2 linked regions of the Coturnix japonica genome follow. The protein of the gene in region 1 interacts with the protein of each later gene in a pairwise test. Links are inferred from orthologs where the notes say so. Each region holds a gene or a part of one and is shown on either strand. Other genes may lie near its edges. The genes, in order: IQUB and TMCC2.

Region 1 (3,822 bases):
AGCTTAGGCTCCGTGAATAACACATGCTGCCAAATTCATGCTCAGTTTACCGTAGGAAAAATAGCTAGGATGGTTTAAGGTGGGTCCGGTAGCTTTGCAATGAATAAGGAATCCATTCCGTCAGTTCTGCTATAGGGACAGCAATGCAAAAACTGCCAAGGAACTAAACCATAAGCAAGCACTTAAGCTTAGGTAAAATGAGCTGTCCAAAGTGACAGTGCAAGTATTTTGCTTAAAAGGGGTCATTTTAAAAGAGCTACAGCAACGTTGGGGTTTTTTATAGGCCATCACATTGTTTTCCATTGTTTCATTTTTCCAAAAGGCCATATGTTAATTTGTTGTTACAGTTAGAAGATCATTCTTGTGCAAGATTTTAAACCAATTATTTGCAGCATTCACCTTATTTTGCCAGGGAAGTTTACAAGTGCTTGTCTGCAGACACCATCCCCTCTGCTAGGAGACACATTTCATGATGCCCTATAGGAGCTTAAAAAAATGTTCTTAAGATTTAATTTTCTTTCTTTTTTTTTTTTTTTCTTTCATTTAAGATTTTAAAAATATTTTATTATTTTATATTATCATTTATATTATTTTAAAATATTTGTCAAATTTTTATTGCAGTTACAGCAGTTCTATGAACAAAATACATTAGAGATGAGAAACAGCAGCAGAAGAGGGCATGGATGAAATGAAGAACCTCATTTACCTTTCATAAAATTCTGGGTAAAATTTAATCCATTATGAAAATTAAATGGCAGATGATGGATTTTAATTGCAATTCCTTCAAGACATTATTTTCACTGACTTAAATGCATCAGAACTAACTTAGTCTTCTGATCCTTAAAAGAAAACAATAGATGAATCTTGTTCTTCTTATTGACCTATATCAGGTCATCTTGTTCCTCTATCTCACATCATTACAGATGAATGGGAAAACAAACAAAAATACCTCCCAAATAACACAACTACTAGCATTGTTTTATAGGTTAATTTGTTGGGGTTTTTTTTGTTTTTTTTTTCCCCATAAAAAAAGCTTCTAAAATGAAATTAATTCCACTGCTTAGAAAAAGGAAAAGGAGATGGAAACAGAGATGATCCAAAAGGAAAAGAAACCTGCCAAAACCAGAAAACTCCTCAACTATGCTTTTTTTTTTTTTTTTTTTTGCTGACTTAAGAGTGCCCCCTTAAGAAAAACTTACATTCTAAAGCGTGGTACAGCAAGTCGAAATCTTCTTTGGTTTTAGGGTTCAGTTTTCTCTCCTGCTCCATTCTCAGTTTGTCTTCCTTCTCTTTTTTCTTCCTTAACTCTTCCTGTGCTTCCCATTCCAGCCTTAATCTCTTTTTTTCCTTCAGGTTTTCTACTAGTTTCGTAGCATACCAACGACGGAAATTTTTCTGTAACACTATTACCTACATATGACAAAAATATCACAGAACCATCAATTTAAAAACAAACAGCACAGCATTTTGTTCTTAACCATTATTTTTTAGCGTTTTAACTACATTTTCTAAGATCTGTCTTGTACTTAGACTAATTTAAATGCTTTACAAACAGTTATGTACTATTAGCCTAAACACTAGCCTGCTTACTCTTTTAGTAGGGATACTAGGGAGGTAGCCTAGATATATCACAGTAGGAAGGACAATACGCAGGCCTGAACTTCTTCTGCCAGCTGAGTTAGCACTTGCACCAAATGCACTTGAGTCAGGTTAATTTAATGCCATTTTGAGTTTATTAAGCATTATTCAGTGCAGAAGGCCGCCAAACACAAAACCATGCTCATAGAGCTAAACAGCCTCTAGAGATATCTTAACCTAACACTTCCCTTGGATATGTCTCCAGTTATTATTTCAGTATAGAACTACATTATGTTGTGCAAATCCACCAAACTGAATCAACACCAAGCTGATGTCTCCACTGTGCTCTATTCCTTGACACAGATGCACTCTAAAAAATAAATCATTTTAAAATATTATATATCAACAATACAAACATATTTCTGTGCTTTTATTGTACTGTGAAAAAAGTACATACAGAAAACTAACCAATACCCACGGTATTAAGACCTGAAGGCCAGTTTTAGTTATAAGAAGCTGCTGTGAAGAGAGAAAGTATTTTTTAATACATTTACAAAGTGTTTGCTTTTGAAGTGAAAACCAAAGAAAATCATTCTGCAGTAACATTTACAGCAGCATCGTAGGTTACCTACAGATACGTTACAGATGTCAGTGAGTAGCACTAATGATCACAGTAAAACTCACTCATAGTCCTGAGGAAACAGCTAACTACTTGGTTTCCATTCCTACAAGATGCTTATTGCTGTCAGCTAATGCTGACTAAATAAGAATTTCTTATAGAAAGTTATAACAAGATTTAAAAAGCATCTCGTCAGCCACATTAATACAATGATCCCACTTAAACACTTGGGAAAACCAACTTTTTATCTAGTTCGTAAGACTCAGGCTGCTTATTTTAAGCATTAAATTAGGAACTGGAGCATTTACAAAGCAGCATCCAAGCTAACATGATGCCAGGGAGTAAATAAGATAGGTGTGCAGTCACTGAATAGATGGTTTGCAAAGAGAAGTTCAGGACGCCTAAAGAGACATCCCCTGTACAATGACAATCCAGCATCTGTTGTCAGAATTGGCTACAATGAACATCTCACTGCACCAAAAGACTCTGAACCTAAAAAACCAGAAGGCCACAGCATCCATGTAGTTTGTTCTTAAATAATAAAGTAAATACACACAGAAAAGAACAACAACAACAAACAAACAGAAAAAAAACCATAAAATCCAGAAGTTGAATGTAAGTCACATAAATCCTGATCCAATATTCTAGCCATTATGTCATAGATGGCATTAAGCATGTAGTTCAGGTCCTCCTAAAAGAGATCAAGACAGTGCCAATGGCAGAAGTCTATTTTAATACCTAACAGTATAGGTAAAAGTTTAACTTAAGACAGAAGCCAGTAAATTCCCAATGATTAATATTTAAGAAACTGTACGGTCTCAAATGTTGCTGGAAACACCAATAGTGTAAATGTGCACACTCACACTTACCCTTATATCAGAAAGATATGGAAATGTGAACATTTTAAAATTCACTGTTAAAAATTACTCTCTGAACACCCACTAAATATTCAGATAATCTTCTTGCTACTTTTCTTTGCAGATACAGCTGCAAACCTATGAGAACTTACTGCGTCAAGCCGACGCTTGTGGTATTCCTCTGCTGTAAAGTATTTTCCAGGGGTTATTAGTTTGTCAGTCATGTTTGACACATACACGCCCCTTTTAGTCATCTGGGTTGATGTTGGATTTGTTGTTTGTTGATATCTATTTCTTTCTAAAACTGTCTAGAAAGAAAACACACGTCAAATTATCAGACAATACACAGATTGCTTTCTCATTACAAGAAGAACAAAAAATTAGCTATTAATAAACCCAAATCACACAACTCATTATATAAATCCATTAAATATATTCCATTGCATACATACTGTTGACTTATTTACTTCCTCATTCCTGTTTGAAATAATTGTGTAAACATTCTGTTGTTTGGCAAAATTAAATGTATCTTAAAAAGACACTATTGGACCATTACCTGTGTTTCTCTACAAAATACCGTAGTTCCTTTTTCAGGTCTTTTCTTGGGTACCGTTTGTGACCCTGCATTATGATATTCCACTCCCGTTACTTTGTTCTTAAATCCACCCAGAAACGGTTTACGAAAAGTAGATCTTTCAATTTTCACAGCTACGTTGCGGAATGAATCAGAACCTGTTAAAATGGAAGTTACAGGATAGAAATATTATT
Region 2 (3,822 bases), on another chromosome or scaffold:
TAGTCCCTGCATCCTTCCTGCCACAGCTCTTCCAATGGAAAACTTGGGTACAGGAGAGGAAGAGGTGGTGCAGGTGACAATGGGTGACATTAATGTGATCTGAATTTTGCCAGGTCCACTTCTGTGCTCCTCAACTCAACTCCAGGCTTGGGATTCAGCACATCCCTGCCTTCTCCATCCCCATAAGGGGCACAAACCCCAGCAGCAGCAGGGAGGGATTTGTTCTCTGCAAACCCACTGCACCAAGAGCAGATCCACCCCCAGCTCTATGGCTCTGTGCCCTCCACCACCCCATAATATCCATACCTTATCAGCCAGGCTCTCACTGTCCTCAGTGAGCAGATAGACGGCCCCACTCTCAGCCAGCAGGATGGCAGTGTCAGTGGTGGAGGATGACCTGGGCCGCCCCTGGTGCTGATGCAGGATGGCGGTGAGGCTGCTGTCCTGGGGGGCTTTTCGGATGAGGTGTGGGCTGCCCTTCTGGGGGTCCAACGAGCCACTCTTGGCCCTCCGGCTGCCACTGTGAAGGCTGGTGCCACGCTTGATGGAGGGACGGGAGCGGATTTGCTGCAGCACCCGGTTGAAGGCAGTGGGACGTGCTGGGAGGTCGTGCAGGGAGACAGCATAGGAGACACGGTGCATCTCCGGGGAGCGCTCCTTCTCATCGGGGGATTCGTGGTCAGACAGTCCATAATGAGGTGGCAGTGAGTCCTGGGAGTTCTGGTGCTCACGCTCCCTCGACCGCCGGCGGCTGTGGAATAGGTGCTTCAAGCCGTGACCGAACATGGAGCCCTCAGACAGCTGCTGGATTTTCTGCAGGGAATGAGAGGAGAAAATGTCTTGTTATTGTCCAGAAGGATGGCTACAGGCACCTTGAGTGAGTGATAAAGATTGATGGCATGCAGAGCTGGGGACACGCAGGGTGGCTGCAGCTCCAGCAGCACCCATACAGAGCTCTGATAGAGCAGCAAAAGCATGCAGAAAGCCACACAAGCCTCCAAGCACCTCAACCCTAAGGGCGGCATGTTTTTACTAAGAGAAACCATGGTCCCCCCCCAGCCCCACAGCATCAGCCCCATCGTGTGGCCAGCAGGACTCAGTGGGGATGGCTGCCCTCAGGCTGGCTGTGATCTGGGTGCTGGAATAAATCTACTGCTGATTGTGGCCACGTAACTCCAGAGCAGTTCCCTACAGTCACTACAGTGCCTGGACAGCATCACCAGGAGATGATGTGGATCTATGGATGACGATCCTGGCCCTGCTGAGGTTCAGGGGCATTTTGCTGCTGATGTAGTGCAGCACAGACTTCTCCCCAGGGACTCTGGTTCCCGTAATTGGAGCACTGTCATTTACTCATGCTTGAAAACAAGTGTGCAGGGAGCTACTTATAGCCCCAGCAGCCACTTGGCAAAGGCACTGATTTCTGAGATATGACCTTTGGGATTCACAGATGGCCACAGGGCTTCATGTCCCTACAGGAGGGACCCCATCTCCTAAAGCCACAGACATGAAAGCCCAGTGTCCATAAGGGGCTCATTCCCATCACACCTGCAGCATGCACAGGGGATCACAGAACCATTAAGGCTGGGAAAGATCTCAATCCAACCTCAAACCATCCCACTGTGCCCATTGACCATAGCACCTCCTCCCTATCCCTGGGGACCACTCTCATATCCTAACATCCAACCTGAAATGGAGTGGTGTTACACAAGCACATCCCATGTCAACTAAACACTACAGGGAAAAGCTTGAATCTTTCCATAATGAAAACACATGCCCTCTTGGTTCATCCCCAAAAGTCTATAATGAATCCACCACGCTGGATTGCTACTTGGGGAAATGGTGATTTAAATTTCATTCTATTTATAGTGTCTCTATGGAAACGGAGGCAGCATTAGGTGGGTAATAACCATAAAGCAATGGATTTCTGTCACCAAGGGTACGACGTAGCCTCACACGCATGGATTTGCCCTTTAGGAGGTCCAGGTGGAAAGGAACAAGCAACACCTCCCCTTGAGGGTAAAAGAAACAAAAGGAAGGGAAAGGTGCAATAAAGACATTCGATAGCAGCTGCTTTGGGTGGGAGCCAAAGTATAAAGGAGGGGAAAAGAAAAGGAAAAGAGGCCAAAAGAAGGAAGCAGGATCCTGGCATTGCTCGGCTTTGGATGTAGGGCTTGCTGAACTATGGACCTGTTGGCAGTGAAGAGTGGTTCCTGTGAACATGCTGCTGCCCTGCAATAGTTATTGCTGATGTAAAAGCTCTGTTTTTCTTGTGTTGCTCCGGGATGTGATTGCACTTCTACAGCAGAGGCATTTTTCTGGCACGGAGCTGCTCGTGGCTCGGAACAGATTGTCTGCATGGGCTATTTTGGAACTGCCATTGCTTAATAACTGATGCAATGGATACGGAGGTTAATCTCACTGTGCAGACAGCTGTAAACCACCAAGATTATTACCAAAATACACATATACGTGTGTTTATTAACACAGGTAAGGTCTCCTAGTGATGCCAGGAACTGGTTTCTATGGACTGCAAGAAGAGCAGCTCCTGGATCACATCCCTATGCCAGTGGATCAGACCTGGGTTTGGCACAGAAGAACCTCTTGGTGCCTTACCAAAGGTTTTCCAGCTCTTTGATGGGCCCTGCCCTGACATCCAAACCCCATTTCTCAGGTTTCAGATGCTCACACAAGGCGGGGATCTTATCACCACGACCATAAAGCACAGTCTCACACCAGGTTCAATTATTATTACTATTTCTATTAATAATGTATACCCTTTGCATGCCCAGAGGCTCCAGCCAGTATTCTGCAGCCCATTGGAGGCACTGCATAGAGAGAGTGGAAAACTACCCCTCTGCATCCCACTGCATCCCATTGGATCCCACTGCATCCCATCCCATTGCATCCCATTGCATCCCTCCCATTGCATCCCATTGCATCCCTCCCATTGCATCCCATTGCATCCCATCCCATTGCATCCCATTTTATCCCGTCCCATCCCACTGCATCCCATTGGATCCCACTGCATCCCATCCCATAGCATCCCATTGCATCCCATCCCATTGCATCCCATCCCATTGCATCCCATTGCATCCCATTGCATCCCACTGCATCCCATTGCATCCCACTGCATCCCATTGCATGGCTGCTCCTATCCACCCCATTCCCATTGCATCCCATTGCATCCCATTGCATCCCATTGCATCCCATTGCATCCCATCCCATCCCATCCCATCCCATCCCATCCCATCCCATCCCATCCCATCCCATCCCATCCTAAAACACCCAGCACCTCAGGGCACCAAGGGAGGACAGAACCCTTCGACCACAAATATATAGATGTTCTTAAATGGCAAATAAAGCACTTCCCCCCCCCCACGCTTCTCCTCTTGGGGACAGGAGGAGAGAACAAACATGTGACAAGCGTTAGTCATGTCGCTCTGTGCACTACCAAAGTGCTGTAGTGATATGCAGCTCTGCCTGCAAGCAAATCTGAACCACTGGCTGTGGCTACCAGGTGCTGCTGCAGCTGGGGGTCTCCAGACCCCATATCTATAGGGCATGGAGAGGAGAATCACTGGATGACAGCATGGAGAACGTCAGCCTATGGCTGTTACCTCTGCATTGCTGTTATCAACTGCAGGGACACTGAAAGCACGCTGGGGTTCTTGCTGCAGCATCTGAACATCGCCTGCATGGGAAGATGCTCTCCTTTATGGGGGTTAGGGGCTTAGCATACAGCCCCCATGGGACATGGGGAGCTAATGGGGTCCTTGCCAGCACTCTGGGAGCTGTGGGTAAGTGATGCCCTGGGGAGGT

Evidence for each region.
Region 2: the proteins of IQUB (region 1) and TMCC2 interact in a two-hybrid assay, tested with the Homo sapiens proteins (2 studies listed by BioGRID and IntAct). The two-hybrid records come from large-scale screens. The link is inferred for Coturnix japonica from reciprocal best matches to the Homo sapiens genes IQUB and TMCC2.

The regions. Positions count from the first base shown.
Region 1 is NC_029516.1:19,991,370-19,995,191, forward strand, and holds part of IQUB (IQ and ubiquitin-like domain-containing protein), read right to left. Parts: intron 3,787-3,822; coding exon 3,611-3,786; intron 3,363-3,610; coding exon 3,207-3,362; intron 1,411-3,206; coding exon 1,200-1,410; intron 1-1,199. UniProt on the Homo sapiens protein: Adapter protein that anchors the radial spoke 1 (RS1) complex to the A microtubule of outer doublet microtubules in axonemes. The triple radial spokes (RS1, RS2 and RS3) are required to modulate beating of the sperm flagellum.
Region 2 is NC_029541.1:2,362,888-2,366,709, reverse strand, and holds part of TMCC2 (transmembrane and coiled-coil domains protein 2), read right to left. Parts: intron 814-3,822; coding exon 307-813; intron 1-306.